3 linked regions of the Stegostoma tigrinum genome follow. The protein of the gene in region 3 purifies or fractionates together with the protein of the main gene of each other region. This does not show direct contact. Links are inferred from orthologs where the notes say so. Each region holds a gene or a part of one and is shown on either strand. Other genes may lie near its edges.

Region 1 (7,938 bases), about 1.3 Mb from region 3:
AAGCAGGCAAATTTGTCCTGGAAATTCTTAAGTCCTGTTGGAGCAACATTCATCCGGCTAATGGACAGTATTCCAGCAGACTCCTAACTTTGCCTTGTAGATTGCAGACAGACACTGGGGAAAACACGTGGTGAGTTATGCCTCACAATTCCCAACTGCTCTTGTGAATACAGGATTTACATGGCTAAACCAGTTTAGTTTCAGGTCAGCTGTAACCCCAGGATGTGGACAGTCACAATTTTTGTCATGATGAGGTCATTGAATGCCAAGGGGAGATGGTTAAATTCTCCCATGTTAGAGATGATTGTTTCATGCCACATAAGTGCTTAGCATGTTACCACTAATCAACTCAAGCCTGGATGATGTCCAGGTCTTGTTGCATTTGCACGTGGACTATTTCAGTATCTCGAGTTGTGAATGCTGCTAAATGTCGTACAATTAGCAGCAACATCCCTATTTTTGACATTATGGTGGCAAAAAGATCATTGCTAAAACAGCTGAAGATTGTTGGGACTAAGGCATTAGCTTGAGGAACTAAGATCTCTGGAGTTACAGTGGATGTGTCCCGACCTCGAGCCGAGAGATCTGGGATCAAATGTCACCTGCTTTGAAAGTGTTTAATAATATCCCTGAACAGACTGATTGGAAAACACCTAAACTGAAAAACTCCTTTAATGTTACTCCAGGACTGAGATGATTGATCTCCGACAACAAGTGTCTTCCTTTGTATAAGACGTGGCTCTAATTCCCATTGAAGCCAGTTTTGCTGGGACATCTTGACACCACACACTGTCCTTAACATCAAGGCTGCACTTGATAATCACTCTGACCTCACCTCTAGAATTCAGCTCTTGTGACAATCTTGGGATCAAGGATGTAATAAGGTTAGGAGCTCTGTAGCCCGTGAGCAACTCAAACCAAGGTTCAACAAAAAGAATTTTCTAAGCAAGTGCCATTTGACAGCAGCGAGAGTGACCTCTCCAACGTTTTGTTCATGATGGAGAGAGGCCAAAAGGGCAGTAATTCAGTGAATTGGATTTATCCTTTGTGTGGACAGATCATAACTGGGAAATTTTCCACATTGGCAGCTACCTGGCAATGATGTAGACATAATGGAATGGTTTCATTAGGGGCACAGTTAAAACTGGTACCCAAGTCTTCAGCACAGTTGCTGGAACGTTGTCAGGGTCCGTAGCTTTTGCACTATCCATGCCTTCAGTCGCTGCTCAATATCACACGGGAGTGAATCAAATTAGCTGAAAACTAATTGGGACCTCAGGAGGACAACGAGATGAATTGTCTATTTGGCACTGCTGGGTGAAGATATATGCCATGGTTCAACCTTGTCTTTTTTTCCCCCACCACTGAGCTGGATTGAGATATTTGCAGACTGTCTTTCTCCAGTTCTTTTACTTGTCCAGCATCATTCACTGTTCATGTGATAGGCCTGCAGACTTTAGATATGATCACTTAGCTGTAAGATCTGTCTATTGTTTGGCCATTATAAAACTAAAATGCAAATTTCTACTTAAATATGCTTTCCAATAATGTCACAACATACAGTAAAAACATCCCTGCTGAGAAAACTACGTGGTGCTACATCAAGGATAGGACATCTTTTTTCCTTTCTCCCACACTTTTGCCTGGAACTGAAAAAACAAGTTACATGTGTTAACTTAATGTGAATTAACCTTTTGGATTGCTCTGCGTCCTGATGCAGGTAGCAGCCTCATGGTCTTTTGGGAAGTCACTCCTACCTAGGAGAAGAAAAAAGGGCTACTTACAGCAACATCACAACAAATAAACATTGATTATTCTAGTCCCTGAATGCACCACACTATGGGATGGGTCAAAGAAAAACTGGACCAACGTTAGTGTAACTGTAACACTCTACTAAAGTTTCACAAGCCCATTACAGATACAGGAGTCTTGATGCCCCAGTCTACTTCATACAACAGAAAAAAAATCACCCTTTATTAGACCATCCTAAATTTCTTGACAACTTTTTGCATCTTTACTGATCCTTTGTGTCATACATCCTTTCTCATCAGAAGAACTAGATTAGATTAGATTACCAACAGTGTGAATACAGGCCCTTCAGCCCAACAAGTCCACACCACCCCTTGAAGCACCCCACCCTGACCCATACCCCGATAACCCACACGCCCCTGAACACTATGGGCAATTTAGCATGGCCAATCCACCTAGCCTGCAAAATAACCATTATTGTGCTATCACCACAGTAAGTACAACTTTTGTAAGTTGGAAGTTACAATTGCTCTTTTGGGAGATAGGATTTTTGACTGGCTGTTAAAAAAATCTCAGCTAATGTGTGCAGGAGGATGATTTAATCACATCATTGAAATCAGAACAACAGTATCAAATTTATACCAACTTAATGTTTTCAAGTAGACACAATAATAGGACGTATACAGTAAAAGATTGCTAAGTTCAACATTTATATTTCTGAGCAATGGTCAACAAATCTGGCTCAGGAACAGGAACTTCCACTTCCTTCCAAAGTCAGTGTGCTAATTCCAGCGACCTTATCATCCCTCTGGTAATACAAACTGAAGATGAACTTTGGGACCAGGACATTGCTTGGAATTCTATTGCCTGAAATAATGGAGTTCACTTCACATAGATTTGTTAAGTATTACCTAACAGAAATTCTAAACATGAAACTAATTTGTTTACAAGACATTCTCTTCTCATGAAATCCAGCACTTGTGTAGCAATATGTATGCTAGTTTATCTTTACTAACTAAAATCTTTACCAACACTCCCATCCTCAAACGGCAAAGGTGTCAAAATTATTCTCCATCTACTGGATTTAACAGCTATTAGCGCCTCTTATTCCAACCCAGGTGATAACGGAATCACGTCTACAACCTGCAGGTAGTCAACGCGGTTTAAATTTAAATCCATGGACGCAGGAAATTCTTATTCTGTAAAGATTCCTAAAACGAGCGGATTGAGACGACGGCTGGGTCCGACTTTAAAACTATTACGGACAAAGCACCGGGAAAAAGACAACGCCGCATATGAAAATCATGCCAGAAATCGCTGGGCATTCAATGCATCAAACTGGGCGAAAAACAGCAACCAAACCCACAGACTACTTATTTATAAAACAACTCCTAAATCTGTACAAAACCACACAGGGGCCTGCTCATTCCGTTTCTATGGTAATCAAAGGCGTCTCAAACACCACACATCATTGGTTTTCGGAGATCGCACAGGCATTTAAACTCAGCGCTCATTGGCAGGGTCCGCTTCCCCAATCACTTCATGAAAGTGAAGGCGACATCCTTCTCAGAGTCAGGATTTTTTAAAAACCGTGACTTTCATTTATGTGAGAGATAATGGGAACTGCAGATGCTGGAGACTCCAAGATAACAAAATGTGAGGCTGGACGAACACAGCAGGCCAAGCAGCATCTCAGGAGCACAAAAGCTGACGTTTCGGGCCTAGACCCTTCATCTTATGTAGCTGCTTTCATGACCACCAGATGTCTCAAAGTACTTTATAACCAATGAAGCACTTTTTGAAGTTTGGTTACCGTTGCAATATAGGAAACATAGAAGCCAGTTTTCATCTTAAGATGCCAAGATTCAATGCAAAAGTTCATTTGGGCATAAGCAATTTATTTTGGTTTACATCATCTCTTGGCACAGAAGCCTTGTGCGGAACCACTCTGCATAGCTATGCTTCACTGAACCCAAACAGATAGAGAAAGTAGGCCTCCTGGAGTTGTACACAGTCTGTGAATTTTGATCTGATTTTTTTTGGGTGCAGCCTTTAGTCCTCCCTAAACATTTCCTAAGATTGCCCCATTTAAACTCTCTGTGTGACTGTTGGAGTCTGAGAGTTATTTCAAATCCTTGGGCATGGAGGTCGGAAGAAGTTCACTAGGTAGAAATTGGAAGGAGATAAAAACACCTCCATTTTGACCAGCTTTTTATTTTGCAGCAATCAAACTTCATATCAGTCCACTAAACCGCACGCACTAGCGGGAAAAGTCTGAGAAAATCATTATTTTAATCACCTTGTTCAGACATGTCCTGACACACCTCATGAGTTGGGTGGGTCTTGAACCTACACCTTCTTGTCCAGAGGTCCACTAGGGATACTTTCTCTGCCTTTATAAAAATTCTAAATCTAAGAAAATAGAGGGGCATTTCAGCCATTACCATACAGTTCAAGTTCCGTTCTGCCTTGGGAGCTTATGACACCAAGCGTATTTTAGAAACCCGATATAGAAAAGAACTTCTGTGGTTGTACTGTTTTTCAACTCTTCCATGTATAGTATTCATAAATGATTATCTCAGACTTTAGTGTTCACATGCAAAACGGGAGATGTGGTGTAAGTTACTCTGTTGTTCAGAGATGAATTGTGTAGGCTGATTTCTACTTTTTAATATTGGTTCTTCTGTTGTGAATGAGAATCTCAACTGGCATAAATTCCATCTTACTGCGAATACTGGTAAGGTTGCAACACTTCATCTTTTTCCTGATGAGAGGAACCTGTGTTTATTGTAATAATTTTGTAGACAATTTAATTTGTCTTGACACTAAAGATGCACTCTATCATGTTGTGTCACACTACCACTGTGTTAAATGTGTTGTATGTCAAACAGATCTAGCAAGTCAAAACTGGGTATCTATTGGAGGTGATAATGGGAACTGCAGATGCTGGAGAATCCAAGATAATAAAATGTGAGGCTGGATGAACACAGCAGGCCAAGCAGCATCCCATGAGCACAAAAGCTGACGTTTCGGGCCTAGACCCTTCATCAGAGAGGGGGATGGGGTGAGGGTTCTGGAATAAATAGGGAGAGAGGGGGAGGCGGACCGAAGATGGAGAGAAAAGAAGATGGGTGGAGAGGAGATAGGTCAGTCCACCTGCACATCTGCCAATGTGGTATACTGCATCCACTGTACCCGGTGTGGCTTCCTCTACATTGGGGAAACCAAGCGGAGGCTTGGGGACCGCTTTGCAGAACACCTCCGCTCGGTTCGCAATAAACAACTGCACCTCTCAGTCGCAAACCATTTCCACTCCCCCTCCCATTCTTTAGATGACGTGTCCATCATGGCCTCCTGCAGTGCCACAATGATGCCACCCGAAGGTTGCAGGAACAGCAACTCATATTCCGCTTGGGAACCCTGCAGCCCAATGGTATCAATATGGACTTCACCAGCTTCAAAATCTCCCCTTCCCCCACCGCATCCCAAAACCAGCCCAGTTCGTCCCCTCCCCCCACTGCACCACACAACCAGCCCAGCTCTTCCCCTCTACCCACTGCATCCCAAAACCAGTCCAACCTGTCTCTGCCTCCCTAACCTGTTCTTCCTCTCACCCATCCTTTCCTCCCACCCCAAGCCGCACCTCCATCTGCTACCTACTAACCTCATCCCACCTCCTTGACCTGTCCGTCTTCCCTGGACTGACCTATCCCCTCCCGACCTCCCCACCTATACTCTCCTCTCCACCTATCTTCTTTTCTCTCCATCTTCGGTCCACCTCCCCCTCTCTCCCTATTTATTCCAGAACCCTCACCCCATCCCCCTCTCTGATGAAGGGTCTCGGCCTGAAACGTCAGCTTTTGTGCTCCTGGGATGCTGCTTGGCCTGCAGTGTTCATCCAGCCTCACATTTTATTATCTATTGGAGGTGCTGACAGCCATCATCAGCAGAATAGTATTCAATCACAGCCTGTAACTCATGGACTAACCTATCCCCATTCCACCATAACCATTAAGCTGTGAGATCAACACTGGTTCAGTGAAGGGTACAAAAAACATTCCAGGAGGAGCACCTAGCATATCTAAAATTAAATTTTCAGCCTGGGAAAGCTAAAACATATACCATGCAGCAGAAGCAGCTGCAAGAGACCAAGCAAAGTAATTCCCACAAACAACAGATCTAGTGTCTGCATTCCTGCTTTTGTTCCAGCTGTGAATAATTAATAATTAAAGAACTAACAGGAGGCGGAGCAGCAGAAGCTTCACAAACACACCCATCTTCAATTCTGGAAGACCCAGCACATCTGTGTGAAAGACGAGGCTGAACCAATTTCATCTATATTTGTACTGCAGTGCTGAGTGAATGGTCTATCCCAGTTCTTCCCACAGATACCAGTCTTCAGCCAAATTGATTTACTCAGTAACAGCTTCCATCACCTCCCTGAAGATCAAAGATAGACTGGGAATGTAATATCGACTGGAAAAGTAATTGGCCAGATGGGATTTGTCCTTTTTTTGAACAAGTCCAACGATGTGGTCATTAGGTAGATTGGCTATGCTAGATTGTCCATAGTGTTCAGGGATTAACTGTTTGATAAAATGCAAGTTCTAAAGACACAGACTTGATTCTTCAGGGTCATCTGATATCTTAAGATATAGCACTGGTCATGGTTATACAGATGTGAGTATAACCTCAAGAATATAGTATGCTGTCATTATCAAGGAGGTAGCAATAGGGCATGGAGATAATTGTAATATAATAGGGCAGAATCAACATGGTTTTGTGCAACGCATAGCATTTTTAACAAGCTTGTGTGTTATTTGAAGATGTAACAGCCAGGGTGGACAGAGTGGTATCATTTCGGATTTCCAAAAGGCATTTGACAAGAACCACACAAGATAAAATGATTTGTGAGTGATACAACAGCACGGAAAGAGGCTGGGTAGCCAGAGAGAGCTGGGATAAATAGTGAAGTGCCATGGATCACCTCCGGGATCTTAACTTCTTACAATCTGCCTGTGACTTGAAGGGTCCAATTGCAGCCATGCTTTCTGACAACACAAGTTAGACAGGAAAGCTAGTCATGAAGATATAAAGAGGTATTAATTGGTGGGCAAAAGTTTGACATGAAGTGTGGGGCAAATTAGATTGTCCACGTCAGCTAGAAGAAAGGCAGAGTATTATTTAGAAGGAGGGAGACGGTAGAATGTTGCAGTGTAGTGGAATGTGGATGCTCTTTGACTCGAATTACAAAGGATCAGTTTGTAATTAGGAGGTAAAGATAACATTGGCCTTTATTACAAGGAAAATGAACTGTCAGGAAGTCTTGACACAGTTGTATCTGGCATTGGTGAGACTAGAACTACAGTATGTTTTTTGTCTTCTTAAGAGAAAAATACTTGCATTGGAAGCAGTTGAGAGAATATTCATAATGAGAGAATATTCATAAGACAGATGCCTTCATCTAAGGAATCAGACTAATGAGGAAATGTTGAGCAGGTTGGGTCTGTGCTCATTTTAAATTAATAATATGGGGGTGCCAGTGTTGGAGTGGGACACACAAAGTCAGAAGTCACATGATACCAGGTTATAGTCCAGCAGGATTATTTGAAATCACTAGTTTTTGGAGCACTGCTCTTTTGTCAGGTGACTTCTTATATTACAATTGTCGACATGTTCTATTGTTACCTCCTTGTTAACACTCCTTGGTCAATATCAATGTGAGTATAAACTATGACCAGAACTATATTTCAGAAGATATCAACATTCCTGAAGAATCAAGTCTCTAGGACTTGATCGAGCAAGGTCCCAGATTTGTTTCCTGCACTGGGCAACTGTTTGTGTGCACTTTACACGTTCTGTCTATGTCTGTGTGGGTTCCCTACAGGAGATAATGGGAACTGCAGATGCTGGAGATTCCAAGATAATAAAATGTGAGGCTGGATGAACACAGCAGGCCAAGCAGCATCTCAGGAGCACAAAAGCTGACGTTTCGGGCCTAGACCCGGGTCTAGGCCCGAAACGTCAGCTTTTGTGCTCCTGAGATGCTGCTTGGCCTGCTGTGTTCATCCAGCCTCACATTTTATTATCCCTACAGGAGCTCCAGTTTCTTCCCTCAATGTAACAGTACTATTCACATCCATAAACATTGACCTAGCCAAAGAAACAATTGCCAGGGAGTGCTGGACT
Region 2 (7,912 bases), on a different chromosome or scaffold from region 3:
ACACAATATTTCTCCATCTGATATGTAAGGTCAATGACTGACATTTGAACTAAACTGCTCCTACTTGTCCAAATCTGATTTGGTCTTCAGATGAAAGGTGTGCAAAGAAAAGTTTGTGGCTAAGAACAAATCCTTATAGGGTTCAGCATTTCATCAATGTCAAGCTCTCAGCGTAAATTTTATTGCCAACCATTATTCCCATATCTATTCTGTAGTCACTGCACAAAACTACCCAAATGATATTTTAAGCTACCTTAGCTATAAGAAGGTTACTGTTATCCAACAGGTTCCAGGAATGGAGGGTGCTGGTTAATCAAGCATATCGATAAACAAAGATGCAAGTTAAGATCCACATTTTCATCAAATCAGAAAGCTCCTGAATGATCACACAGTAATGCAGGTGTTGAGATTCCACAACAGATGGAGCATGCAAATCTAGTGAGCTGCACCAAAGGAATATGACATTGTGGACTTGGAAGGACCAGAGTGAAGGCAGGCTGCTCATCATGACTACCAATGAGTGTGGCAATTATGAGCAATAGCGAGACAGTTGGAATTGATGGGGAATGTAGATTAATACTGATTTCTGATGGATAAGAAACACCTCCAGTCAAGAAACAGACCCACTCACAGAATTCTGGTTAATAGAGAATTCGGTGGCAGATATCAGGAATTTTAATGTGTAGGTACTCAACCTTAATTGACCCATTTTTTGAAACCTGTTCAAATCAGCCATCTACACTGAAAGCTGTAACATTCACTCTAATAGGTAATAATAATCCAGACACTCAGACCAATGCTCTGGAAATATGGGTTCAAATCCCATTGTGGCAACCGGTAGAATTTAAATGCCGTCAATAAAATCTGAGATTGAAAGCTGGCCTCAGTACTGGTGACCATGACAACTATCACTGGTTGTCTTAAAAATACATTAGATTTACTACTATTCTTCAGGAAAGAAAATCTGCCAGTCTGACCTTTGTGTGACTCCAGATGCAAAGCAAGGTGGTTGACTTTCAAATGCCCTCTTAAATGGTCCAAGTCACTCAGTTTTAAGGTCTTTTAGGGATAGGCACCAAACTCTTGCCTTACCAATGAAGCCCATATCTCATAACAATGTAATTTTAAAAAATGACGTTTCTTGATTGAAAACTAATTTTTCTCATATATTGATCACTATAATTTCATATTTTTCCAGTTTAGATCCTCTATTCTGCACAATTCCTCAGCCTTTGCACATTCTCCCTGTGTCTGCATGGGTTTCCCCTGGGTGCTGGGGTTTCCTCTCGCAGTCCAAAGTTATGCAGGCTAGGTGAATTGGCTGTGCTAAATTGCCCATAGTGTTCAGTGATGTGTAGATTAGGTGGGTTATGAGGGATGAGTCTGGATGGGATTTTCAGAGGGTCAGTATAGACTTGTTGGGCTGAAGGCCCTGTAGGGATTCTATGATTCAAAGTAGGCAGGTTGGTTAGTGTGCTCCCAAGTCTCTCTGCTGGTCACTTATGTATGGGCAATCATGCAAGAGCAATGTGTGATGAGCGCACATTTTCTCTTGTGTTATTTTGCCACCTCTTACAGCCAGTATGGATGACACAGAACTTATCATGTAGAAAACCGCAAGGGAAAACTTGATGACTAATATTATGTAGCAGACCACCAAGAATTTGTTTTTTAAAAAAGTGTTAAAGATAGCACCAAATGTTGAAAGGAATGATGAATTCTTAGGTCATGTTGCTAATGTACTTATATCTTTCAAAACAGCCTTCTGAGGTCTTTTTTGCCAACTAGGTGCAGATATTAATTGGTGTTAAGTAGAATGGGAATCTAAATGGCAGGCAATTAATCTATGGCTAAAAGGACATTCAGTTACATTTACGAAAGGAAACTGGTTTTGAATCACATAATTAAATAAGTTACACAACTAGGTTAATGACACCATTCTCATGATTTTAAGAAAATCTTACCACAGATAACTGATGTAAAGCACAAGTTATTATTTTGGAACTATAAAATATATGTTTATATTTCTTGCAACCTAGCAATAAGTCTTAGGGAGTTAAAACAAAAAGAAAACACTAAACAACCAATACTAAAATGAAGAACATATGAACACTTTCATCTTCAAAGTTTGAACCTAAGCACAAACATCAAAGGCACTCGGTGAAGTATTGTTAGTGATTAACATACCGACCTGTTATTTGAATCAGAGGGTCCATGAGAGCAACTCCAAGTCTATCTCCTACCATCACTTGTTGCTCCTGAAGATATTGTTTTAGAACAGGATGGATTACTTTTTGGCATACCACAAGGTGAACTTGGTCACAAACTAGCTGTTTTCCCACTTTCAGCAGCTGTGCAAGTGATTCATCTTCTGGCCTGAAACCTGGTGTCACCTCCCAGGTTCCATTTCCACTGTCAACAACATCTCCTGACATGGAGACATTGAATACAGCAACCTTAATGTAACCAATTGTCAATTTTGTAATATCAACTGTTGTTGAAGGAGATGAAAATATCTCTATAAGGATCCCAGAAAGCACACAAGAGTCAGTAACACGTTGTCCCTCAATGGGAACAATCTGCATCTTTCCCAAAGATATATTATCTCCGATCACAGATGGTATTGAATAAAAGAATGCCTTTAACACTAATGAACTGATGTAGTCAGCTTCTTTTGTGGTCAGCATACAAGTAGGCTTATTTATCATCGTACGAACAAGCGAAAGCAAAGTCTTGCTGTTACTAAAATCTATTTGTATTTTGCAGCTACATTCTTCTGAAGTTAGATAGTCAAGGCAAATATTCAGAAGGTGTTTATGGATTTTGACAATGTGACTGGTTAATATGTTAAGTTGTTTTGCACTTTCAGCCAAATTACAGCAGAGAATTGCTGTAAATAGTCCAGAATCGCTAAATCGAGAAACATGATTCAGCACGGAAGCTATTAGTAACTTGATCACAGGATGGGACACAGAAAGGCTACGCAAAAGGGCTGAAGACTGTGATGTGGTTAAAACGTAGCCTCCTACAGCATTGTGAATTAGTTTAAGTCTACCAAATGGGCCATAACAGGACTCCACAATTCCTCTGAGAGTGGAAAGAGCCTGACAAAGAACATCACTATTTAACGGTCCGGAGCTGCACGAAGATGCTATTTTACGCACAATTGAGGCCATCATTCAGGTAGAGTGGAAGGTTTGAAAACAGCAAACTTGCAAGGATTAGTTGGTTTATTATTTGCAAAAGGAAACTGAAATTTAACATGCAGCACTTCACCTCTGCTCATTTAAAAGGTTGTACATTCCAAACGTGCCAGTCATATTATAGAAGATGAAAATAATTTGAAATTCCCATTGAAATATATTTCAACGTTAAACCAACCAGAAGAGCAAAATTTGGATGCATTGTAGAAGATTCATCTTGCTTGGCATTTCATTATTATTTATCTACATTTTTCTGCTTCAATTCTAAACTTGTTGATTTTTTTACAAATTTCTGCATCAAGTAGGTTACACTATGGATGCCAAGTAAGGACAGTCCTGCCACCAGAAGCCAATTTTTGCGTAGCCATCTTTTATTTCTCATTCTTCTGTAAGGATGCGACAATGAAATATTTGCATTCCAATTTATTATCTGTAAATAGAAAATACAGACAGTTAAATTGTGCTTAAAAAAATTAAGTTTTCCAATCATAGAATCTACATCATTGAGAAGACAACGTAGTCTATCATGCCGCTGGTTCTGAAACAGTTTAGTCCTAAACTTCAGCCTGGACTCCCCCATATACCTGTAAATTTGAACTTTTCAACTACATGCCCAATTGACTTTAAAAAAAATTATGAAATCTGATTCCACAGCTCTTTCAACTGAAGCCTATCCAGAAAGCGGTAAAGCTTTTTTTAAGAGTTTCTTAGTCTTTATTTTCCCAATTTTTAAAGACCCTGAGGAGTCTGGACAGGATGAATTATAGAAGAATCAAGAACTTGAGGTCACTGTTTAAAAATCAGGGGTCATCCATTTAAAATGGAACTGAGGCGAAATATTTTCTTTCAGAGTTGCGAGATTTTGCAACTCTATTCCTGAAAAGAAGGTGGTAGTAGAAGCTGTCCTTTACGCATTATTTACAGAGTCGTACGGCAAGGACTTCGGCACAACTCATTCAAGGTGACCAGGTTTCCTACACTGCGCGAGTTCCATTTGCTCGCATTTGGCCCATTTCCCTCTAAACTTTTTGGATCCAAGTACCCTGTCTAAATGTCTTTTAAGTGTTGTAACTGTATCCACCTCCAGCACTATCTCTGGCAGCTCATTCCATATCCACCAACCTCTGTGTGAACAAGTTGTCCCTCAGATCCGTTTTAAATCTTCCCCTCCTACCTTAAATTTATGCCCTCTAGTTTTGGACTCCCCTCTCCTCCTCTGGAGAAAAGACCTCAGCTATTCATCTTATCTACGACTCTTGTGATTTTATAAAACTGTTTCAGGTCATCCCCTCAGTCCCACTCGAGAGAAAAAATTTCCAGCGTCTCCTTATATCTCAAAACTTCCAAGCTTGGTAATATACTTGTAAATTCTTCTGCATCATTTCTAGCTGCTATATGCAGTGCTTCAAATGTGACCTTATCGATGTCTTGTACAGCTGTAACATGACGTCCCAACTCCTGTACTCAACACTTGGATTAACGAAAGCAAGTGTGCCAAATGCCTTCTTCACCACCATTTACCTGTGACACCGCTCTTAATGAGCTATGTACCTGCATCCCTAGGTTTCTGTTCATTTAAGGCAGAGATGTACTGATTCTTGTTAAGCGTTGGGGCGATATGTTTTCAGGGTTAGATGGGAATGCAGATTTGAGGTTAAAATCCGATCAGTCATGATTTTATTGCAAGGTGGGGCAGGGTCGAAGGTCTAAATGGTTGACATCTTGGTTTGTACAGTTTTAAACCCAGCATTCCAATTAATTTCTTAACCACCTTCTACATTTGCCCTGGCACTTCAAACATTTAAGAACCTGTGCTGCAGACTCTCAAGTTTATACATCCTCCTCAAAATAGCACCAAGCATACGATAATGTCTTTCCATGTTAGTGCTCCCAAAGTTTAAGCACTTCAAATCCAAACACAATTAAATTGCACCATCCATTTTTCAGTTTATTTTCTCACTTCTGTCTCCTTGTACTCCTGACACGTACCACTATTATACATAATTATTGTATTACCAAGACATGAACTGGTTGCCAATTTTGGAAATGTATTCAAATCTAGGTCATTTCAATGATAACAGTAATGGTTTTGCTGGACTTCAGAACATCGTACTAAGTTCACACATGTACCTATTGGATTACCATCAATGACATACCTTTGTTTAAATATCCTAGAAATGACAACAAATCCTACTTTTGTTTTATAAATGCAGCTTGTTGTGTTAACAGAGTTTGATTAAAAAAGTGTCAAATATGTACTCTTTCTGTTTAAACCCCTTTGCCTTTCTGTTGAGGCACCCACCCAAAAGATAGTCACCGTGTCCTCTGATCAAGGAAAGCAGGAAAGACCTGGAACCATCCACATACTCTCCCAAATCCATAATTAAAACTAAAAGGGATATTTGAACCTCAAGAACACACAGTTGTTTTCTTGTATTGCTACAGAATAGATAAGCTCCTGCAAACAAGCCGTAACCTAGTTTTGTGTATTTTTGCACACTTTTCAAACATCATAATTTGAGGTGATTTACCTACTCTTGACATAATTTATGAAGGGGGTATGGCTTACCCAGCAAATCGAATTACTAATTTCCCTTTGGTCGGCTTTCCTTTTGGATGATACTTGTCAAAACTTCTGGCTGTGGAATATAGTCTTGGTTTCTGTTCTTGAAGGTTTCACTAGACTTCATATTGTACCATCCCCAGTGAATCAGTGTAAGACTTGTTCCCATAACAATTAAAACTCTGTAGTTTTTCCAGACAGTTTTGAGACCCATGTCTGATTTAAACAGTCACCTGCAAATACAATAACATTTAGTCAGTGAGATATGAATGTCATACCATTTAAATAAGGTCAAAAGGACTGAAGAGTCAGGACAACAATGTTGGAGATTAGACATAGGGTGAAGCAAAGCCATTTGGACAACTGAAAATTAAGATTTCAAAATTAATGAAGTCAGAGATTGGAGTCGATTGCTGCAAAGAATGGGTGTTAGGATAGAGCTATCAGACTAAAACAAAGTTAGACCTTAGGACAAGTCAGGAATTAGAGAGATCAAATAATAAACCCAATCTTGAGTCAATGGGTTTGTGACTCATTTCAGAGATGAACAAAATACTAAGGTTGAATAAGGGCTTGTAAAAGCTAGGTAAGGAAAGGCTTAGCAACCTCAAACAAAAATGAAAAATGTTAGAGAAACTCAGCAGCAACAAAAACAAAGTTGCTGGAAAAGCTCAGCAGGTCTGGCAGCAGCTATGGAGGAGAAAACAGAGTTTACACTTCTGGTCCGATGACCCTTCCTCAGAACTGATGGTAGCTGGAAAACATCAGTTTATATGCAGAAAATAATGGAGGTGGGTGGGGTAGGGAGTAAACGACAGGATAGAGCCCAAAGAGAGAGAGAGAGAGAGAGAGACACAGTTGGACAGACAAAGGAGTTGCGAACAATCAGGCTGGGAGGGTGAATAATTATTAATAGGGACTGTTAGTGATGAACAACAGGGGATGTGTAGTGGCAGGCTATGTGATAACAAGACCTGGTGTGTGGGGTGGGGACTGGGAACGGAAGAATTTAGGCCCTAAAATTATCGAACTCAATATTGAATCCGGAGGGCTGTAGGGTCCCCAAGCAGAAATGAGGTGTTCTTCCTCCAGCATGTTCTGGGCTTCAGTGGAACGCTGTAGCAAGCTGGAGACAGAGATGTTGGCCAAGGAGCAAGGTGGTGCATTGAAGTGGCAGACAACAGGTAGTTCATGGTCTTTTTTGTGAGCAGAACATAGATCCTCTGCAAAGCGGTCGCCAAGTCTATGCTTCGTTTCCCCAATATAGAGGAGACCACATTGTGAGCAGCAAATGCAGTAGACTAGATTCTTGGGAGTGCAGGTGTCCTGGAGGGAACAGTTCCTGCGGAATGCGGACAAGAGAGAGGAGGAGAGGGGAAGGGCATGTGTGTCTGGTGGCGGCATCTTGCTGGTGTGGCAGAAATGGCATCTGAGAAACTCAGCAGGTCTGGCAGCATCTGTGGAGAGAAACTCGGGCCAACGTTCCAGGTCTAGTGAGTCTTCAGCAACTTCAGTAAAAACTTAAAGAACTGTGGATTCTGTAAACCAAAAATTAGAAATTGCTGGGTAAGCTCAACAGGTCTAACGGCATCTGTTGACAGAAGTCAGAAATAACATTTCAGGTCGAGTGACCCTTCGTCAGAACTGGGAACTTCCGTTGTTACTTCAACAATCTCAGTCTGGTAAATACCTTGGCAAAACAAAAACGCACAGAATGGCTTTAACTGTGCTCAAGCTGTTAAACATAAATACATTCCACATTAACCTACAGCCGGAGATAGCAGGAACTGCAGATGCTGGATTCCGAGATAACACACAGTGTGAAGCTGGATGAACACAGCAGGCCGGGCAGCATCAGAGGAGCAGGAAAGCTGACATTGCGGGTCGGGACCTTTCTTCAGAAAATTTACTGGGGGAGGCTGGGGTGGAGAAAGGGAGCTCAGAAATAACTTAACCTGGACGCTCAGATAGCAATGTCCCGTCTCTCAAGCAGCATGTGGGGGTGGGGGTGAAGAAAAATACATCCTGTGGGATCTTGCGTAGCTTGGAGTTTTTGATCCCAGCAATTTTTCGTGGAGTCTGTATATCTATAGGAACGGGAACGGCTTGAGAGAGTGAAAGATGCAAATACAAAGGAAAGGAGAAG
Region 3 (7,226 bases):
CTGAGTCTCCAGCTCCCCGATATTCTTTACCATATTGCATGTCTACAGCTATGCATGGTAAACCTGATTTTGACCTGTTGCATCCCGTCTCTGGTCTGACCCATTTGGTACCTAACTATTTACGACTCTAGTACACCAAGTCTCCTAGTTCATTGAACACCTTGCTTCCATTCCATAGAACTGAGTTTAAACCCTCCCCAGTTGTACTTACAACACATCTTGGAAAGATAATGGGCTGTTCAGATGCAGCGCAACTGACCTATATAGATTGCACCTCCCCAAAATCAGTCCAGAAGGTTCACCTTCCTGCACACTCTCTCCAGTCATTCATTCACATGCTCTATCCTCCTATTACCCAGGGAAATACCATTCACTTGCCTACATGTCTCACATCAACTTAGATGGGAACAGAGTAACAGGACTGCATGTAAGGGTCTTGCTTGGATCTCATCCCCAACTATCTACTTTCCTTTTTCTTTTTACTTCTGCTCTTTATTTTCTTTTTCTTTTCTTTGGCAGGTTAGTTGGCAGCATTGGCACAAGCGACAGTGGGCCGTGCACAGAAACGGCAGCAGCTTCCTGGCAGTCAAAGTGGATGCTGCTCCTCCTAGTGATTTGTGGCGGCAGCAGCAGCAAGGACATCCTCCCTGCATTCGGGGCTAGGGGCAGCTTCTTCAAGACGGCAGTGAGGTGCTACCTCGAAAGAATGTGCCCGGAACTAGATTCTTGGCATTATGGCAACCTGGCCTGGCAGTGGAGCCAGAGACTCTTGATTGCAGTCGGTCCAATGAAGGGCACTCCTGGAGCCGTCAAGGTGGCAGCTGCAACGTGGTAAGCCTGGAGTGGGGACTCCTGACATCATCGAGGCAGCAGCGGAGCCACAGACTCCTGGTTGCAGTAGGCCGATAGTGGGGACTCCTGGCATTGGCAAGGTGGCAGAACACCTGGAGCAGGGACCTCTGGTGTCATTGAGGGAGCAACAGAACCAGGAATGCCTGGTTGCAGGTGCCATACGCCTGGATCGGGGACTTCTGGTTATTGGCAAGGCAGTGACAGCCAGCGACTCCTGGGGCACTGTGCCTCAGATGACAGGAGATGGGGCAAGTGTGGATTCAATCTGGGACTTGGACTCAGTGAAGTGGGCCCAGCAGCGAAGAGATGGCATCTAAAGAGAGGCGACGTTTACATTGGTGGGTCCAGCACAGGTGGTGGCGAGGCAGTGAAGGAGGGTAGTGACACAGGTGTCATCGGTGCACTGGTTCAGGACTCATGTTGGAGGCACCAGAATAAAGACAGATTCTCTTTCAGATGTATCTTTTGACTCTTTTAATACCTAAACTATTCAAAATGTGGCAAAGATTGAAGCTTTTCACTAAATTTTGGTGTATTATTCACTGTAAAATGCAAATGACAATAAACCCTTCAATTCAATTAGGGGAGATGTTCTAAAATTTTAGCCATTAGTCCTAATCTTTGGTTATCTAGTGCAGAAAGATGGGGTAGATCTTTTTTAAAAAAGGTCTTCTTTGAGAGCCAGTTATCGGTCTGGGATGGACACACAGTAATCCACCAGTGACTCTAGAACTGTATGAAATAAAAATGGAAACAGAGTTAACAGGCTTGGTTTTCAATATGTGGCTGGGGAGTGGGTGGGTGGAATGTTTAGCACAGGTTGCTGGACAGCTCATTTGCAATGTAAAGGGATGCCAACAATATAGGTTCAATTCCCACATTGACTGAAGTTAATATGAGGATTCTCTTTCTCAACATCTCCTGTCATCTGAGGCACAGTGACCCTCAGGTAAACTAGCACCAATCAGCTCTTGCTGTGGTCTGGTAGGACTTAGACACAACCCAAGGTACAAATCCTTACCAACACTTTAAAGGGCTTTGGCAACTTTACCTTTTATTTGTGGGTCAAGAAGTTGGGTGTTGGCACGCTTTGAAAAAGTGCTCCCAAATCAAATTGTAAATTTCTATGTCTTCAAAATGGTTATCTTCATTGGGATTGTGAGGTGGAGGTTGTGAAGTAACATCGAAGAGCATGGTAACGGGCTGACAGGACTGGTGAGTTGAACATTACAAACATAGGATGCTTTGTAAGTCTGCCCTCACAACTCAACTACTTTCCACATTGCTGCTTCCTCCACTACGCACTGCACCCCAACAGACGAACAACTCACCCAACTCCACCCCACTTCAGGCACTCAATCCTGAGCTTCTCTACTTAAACCTCCCATCTACCCCTCTCACTTAGGGTCAGCTCCACTCACTCAACTCTTACGATTCCCACAGGAGCTTTTGCTTCACGCTCCAATTGACGCAGTCCCAGATTTGGGGTCGCCACTCTTTCCCTCACTCAAGCAGGTACCAAACTTTGACAATTTAACCTTCCTGAATGCTGACCGTCAGCCAACATTTCCTACCGTTGAGGAGTCGATATGTGCGGGTGCTGTGTGTTTGCATAAACACCAAAGATATCAGCGTAGAGGTAAGTGGAAAGTTGCCTCTACAGTATCCCACTCGCTGTTCGAAATGGTGACCCGGGAAGTCAATGTACAGGCCACAATATAAAATTACGGTATATACCCTGGGTCAGTTGGTCATCTTGCAATTCAGATCAAAAATTAAATCCAACATTGCTGCTCAAAGACTTTTACCAGAACACAATGATCATATTAACATGGCCAGGTGTGTTAAACTTTCACGGGGGTCGTAAATTAGGTTTTGTGTTGGGAGTATGATCGGATTGGTGTCTCCTCATGAACAGACTTGTAAATGTCCTTTCTTCCTCATGACGATGCGTTACTTCCATAGGCCAATTACTGCAGACAGCAGAGCGGAAACCACACCTTCAGCCAGCTCAGAGTCCGAGCTGCAGACATTACCTGTGAATAGCTGGTTACCTGCTCCATTTCTCATGCAGCCGCCTCCGGAACCCAGGTAGTTCTCAGGACATAATAAACCGCCTTTTGGACCAAAGTCTCCGTTTTAAACAACGGAAATGACGCATGTAAGCTGTTAGTCGCACAAGTGTTAGCCAAAAATATGTTTAAATCATTAAATAAAAACGACTACCAAAATATAAGATCTGCACAGTTGTTGATGTTTTGGTGCGTTTCCGCATGCCTGCGGCCTGTTTGAGCGGGTTGCTGCGATACCAACCGCGCGCTTTCCCCGCCAGCTCTGACGTCATGGGTCGCGCCCACTCTCGAAGACCATTGGTTGGGGTGTGCGCGTCTTCTCCCGCCCCGCCTGACACCGATTTGTGGTTGGTCAACCGAGGTGCCGGTCAAGGTGACGTCAACGCGCCCACCCCGGTTGTTGACGATTAAGCGTCCGTTTGTCTGGGAAACTAAGTGAGGTGTTCGAGAGTTTGTTTATGTTGGAAGGATAAAACGGTCGGTGCAAGATATCAGCTTCGGGTTTTGTTTTATATACGATTTATCTACGTGCTTCGAGCAATGGTAAGGTTTTTTTGACATAATTCTCTACTGAGTTGATTATTTATTGTATGATTCACTGATTAAATTTTGCTTTCTTCCACTTTAATAGCTTTATAAAACATGTGAGAGGTGCCCACTGAGAGCTCGTGGTTGAGTTAAATATTGTCAATCCAGAAGAATGTATTGATTCCAATAAGTGGCCCTTCCACTTGTTCTTACTATGTAATTGATAATTAAATGTGTTACAAGTTTCGGTTAAGTCGATTCAAAATCAAATTTATCCAATTTTAATAGGCTATAAACCCTAAATTTACTTTACAGGAAAATAAATTATACTGACAGTTTAAATATTTACAAATCCAAAATAATGGTTATGATTCACTCGATCAAATGGATATGTCAAATTTCAGTACCTCGAATGATCCTTCTTGGAATTTGAGGCCAAAGCGACCATGCACCCCAATTCCAAACTTTCAAAAGCTCTGATGTGCAAATCGTCATTTTGAACAAAGCTGCTCTCACAGCTTCAGAAAAACGGCTGTTCTTTTTGCGAACAGCAATTGATATAAGGCATTCGGGCAGATTTGTCATGTAACAGATTGTACATTTTTGGCCTAGTAATCTGGAGAACTTGGAAATAAATTGCTTATTTATAAAAAGGCAACTAGCGCATTAATATAGTTTTGGGAAAGAAACCTGCCCTCACAACAAGGTTTGTATGTCTTTCTCAGCTGTAGTGTTTGGTATCCATCAACTTTTAGAATTCAGAAATGAGATTAACTAATTTCCAAACTGAAGATGAGAACATCTAACCAGAGCAGTGTACTGCATACATGACAAAGACCAAAAGAACTGTGGATGCTGTAAATCAGGAACAAAAACAAAAGTTGCTGGAAAAGCCCAGCAGGCCTGGCAGCATCTGTGAAGGAGAAAACAGAGTTAAAGTTTCAGGACCAGTGACCCTTCCTCAAAACTGTTCCTCAATTCTGAAGAAGGGTCACCAGCCCCTGCTGGCCTTTTCCAGCTATTGTATACATGATTCGGATTCCGCAGGAAACCTTTCATCAAATCATGCAGAGTAGACAAGACAAAACCCAAAGAGTGAAGAGAACTGAGGGATCAGATGAGCAGTATTTCTCTGAAGTATCCTGACAAATCACTTAACTGTTTCAAACAGTTACATAGCAAACTAAGTGCCAAACTAAACTTGACATTAATTCAAAACATTCTAAAGGCATGCCCAGCCAGCCAATTTGGAATAAAATTACCCTCACTAACATCTGGGCACTGGTGCCAGAGTTGGGAGACTACTCCCCTAGATCAGTCACGCACTCACAGAACAACCAATGTCTTCAACTATTATACCACAATCCCTGATTATAACTCACCAGAAATTAGCAGACAATGGCTAGTAGCTATTGGAATCTTCAGCTGAACCCAACAACTCTATGGCTTGAGATCAAGTATGGGCAAGAAAACCTCCTGTTGATTTCCATCTTCTGCCTTCTCACAGTTCATAAATCAGTACATTAAATAATACTTCGAAGTGCTGCCTAGATGATCCTCCTCAGCTGCTTCTTGACATTCGCCCCTCATCCCACAATAGATACTGATATTCATTCAGTTTCATTCTAACCTGGAGAGAATGTCACTCAATGACTGGAGCATGTTTGTCATATAATTAGATAATGCTTGATCTGTATGTATTTATCTTCATTGACGACCTTAGTTCAATAATTCTCTATGCCTGTCTTTTTGTACTACTCTCTCATGGAAATGTGGAGTCACTGATTAAGCCAGTATTTGTTGACCATCCCCAATTGTACTGGAGAAGGCGATGTATACTGTCTTTTTCAACTACTTTATTCCTTGGTCTGTGGGAACACCCAAATTGCTGATGGGAAGGTACTTACAGGAGTTTGACCCAGCAAAAGACCTAAATGGTTCCAGGATGGTGTGTGACTGGGAAAGGAACTTGCAGGTGATGGTGTTCCCATGTGTCTGCACTTTTTAATGATGATCTGTCAGACTCTTCTGAAATTTTCAATTGACACGGGCTCAATAGGTTTTTGGAGAGAACGCTCCAGATGTCTGCTATCGTTTGTGTAAAGAAGTTCATTTTGATATCACCCTGACTGAATTCTAATTTTTATTTTCAATTCCACAAAAATGAGTGTACTGGATACATCATAGGCCATGTGCTCCACCTACTTTTCAGTTATGACATTGAAAAACTGTGATACAGAGCTGTCTGCATCAACAGGTAAACTGTTCCAGTACAGCTACAACACTTGAATTAACCTTGGCAATGCAGAAAGTTATTTCAAGTATGATCTATCAAAACAAACAGGACAAAGCCAACCCAACTAATTACTCTCCTGCCAACCTCCTTCCAGTGATCAGAAAAAGTGCTGAGGGAGTTGGCTACACTACTTTAAAGAGGCATACACTCACCAACAATCTGCTCATTGATAGAACCTCTTAGCTCCAGGCCTGTACCAATTGTTGACTCAAGCTGAATTCTAGACATAAGATGAATGTACCGGGGTAACTGCAAGCACTTGATACTCCTATCTCATGTAACCAAGCATTGAGCAATTAGCAGATAGATCTAAGAGAAAAAGCTATCTTTGAAAGTGTTTTTTCTTGGAGATTGCTGTTTCAGCTAATGGATGCCTGGCATCTCAGTCTTCTGAGAGTAACAATTACCACTTTAATGGTCTAGTTGATTGATTCTTCTTTTATCTTCATTGACACCTGTAGTAAACTTTTTTTTTGTTTTCTGAAAGTCATGTATTAATTTTTTTTAATATAACTTGTAATATGACTTTCCCCAGTTCAAGAAGGGGAGCAGAGACAACCCTGGTAATTATAGACCAGTGAGCCTTACCTCAGTTGTCGGTAAAGTGTTGGAAAAGGTTATAAGGGATAGGATTTATAATCATCTAGAAAAGAATAAATTGATTAGGGATAGTCAGCACGGTTTTGTGAAGGGAAGGTCGTACCTCACAAACCTTATTGAGTTCTTTGAGAAGGTGACCAAACAGGTAGATGAGAGTAAACTGGTTGATGTGGTGTATATGGATTTCAGCAAGGCATTCGATAAGGTTCCCCACAATAGGCTCTTGTACAAAATGCGGAGGAATGGAATTGTGGGAGATATAGCAGTTTGGATCGGAAATTGGCTTGCTGAAAGAAGACAGAGAGAGGGTGGTAGTTGATGGGAAATGTTCATCCTGGAGACCAGTTGCTAGTGGTGTACCGCAAGGGTCGGTGTTGGGTCCACTGCTGTTTGTCATTTTTATGAATGACCTGGATGAGGGCGTAGAAGGATGGGTTAGTAAATTTGCAGACGACACTAAGGCCGGTGGAGTTGTGGACAGTGACGAAGGATGCTGTAGGTTGCAGAGAGACATAGATAAGCTACAGAGCTGGGCTGAGAGGTGGCAAATGGAGTTTAATGCAGACAAGTGTGAGGTGATGCACTTTGGTAGGAGTAACCGGAAGGCAAAGTACAGGGCTAATGGTAAGATTCTTAGTGTAGATGAGCAGAGAGATCTCGGTGTCCATGTACACAGATCCTTGAAAGCTGCCACCCAGTTTGACAGGGCTGTTAAGAAGGCATACAGTGTTTTAGCTTTTAATAGAAGGATCGAGTCCCGGAACCAAGAGGTTATGGTGAAGCTGTACAAAACTCGGGTGCGGCCGCACTTGGAGTATTGTGTACAGTTCTGGTCACCGCATTATAAGAAGGATGTGGAAGCTTTGGAAAGGGTGCAG

The links. The genes of interacting proteins can lie anywhere in the genome.
Region 1: the proteins of bbs12 (region 3) and bbs7 purify together in Homo sapiens (co-immunoprecipitation; 3 studies listed by BioGRID and IntAct, counting the BioPlex papers as one, with this or other methods). This does not show direct contact. The link is inferred for Stegostoma tigrinum from reciprocal best matches to the Homo sapiens genes BBS12 and BBS7.
Region 2: the proteins of bbs12 (region 3) and mkks purify together in Homo sapiens (co-immunoprecipitation; 4 studies listed by BioGRID and IntAct, counting the BioPlex papers as one, with this or other methods). This does not show direct contact. The link is inferred for Stegostoma tigrinum from reciprocal best matches to the Homo sapiens genes BBS12 and MKKS.

Annotation. Positions count from the first base shown.
Region 1 is NC_081354.1:36,654,153-36,662,090, reverse strand, and holds the start of bbs7 (Bardet-Biedl syndrome 7 protein), read right to left. Parts: upstream 3,181-7,938; 5' UTR 2,929-3,180; coding exon 2,893-2,928; intron 2,885-2,892; exon of another isoform or gene 2,790-2,884; coding exon of another isoform or gene 2,778-2,789; intron 1,758-2,777; coding exon 1,692-1,757; intron 1-1,691.
Region 2 is NC_081362.1:7,624,580-7,632,491, reverse strand, and holds the start of mkks (McKusick-Kaufman/Bardet-Biedl syndromes putative chaperonin), read right to left. Parts: upstream 3,181-7,912; 5' UTR 3,180-3,180; coding exon 2,192-3,179; intron 1-2,191. UniProt on the Homo sapiens protein: Probable molecular chaperone that assists the folding of proteins upon ATP hydrolysis. Plays a role in the assembly of BBSome, a complex involved in ciliogenesis regulating transports vesicles to the cilia.
Region 3 is NC_081354.1:35,335,603-35,342,828, forward strand, and holds the start of bbs12 (Bardet-Biedl syndrome 12 protein), read right to left. Parts: upstream 3,181-7,226; 5' UTR 2,923-3,180; coding exon of another isoform or gene 2,916-2,922; coding exon 2,889-2,915; intron 1-2,888. Other genes in the region: uncharacterized protein cetn4, read left to right, coding at 3,465-3,467. UniProt on the Homo sapiens protein: Component of the chaperonin-containing T-complex (TRiC), a molecular chaperone complex that assists the folding of proteins upon ATP hydrolysis.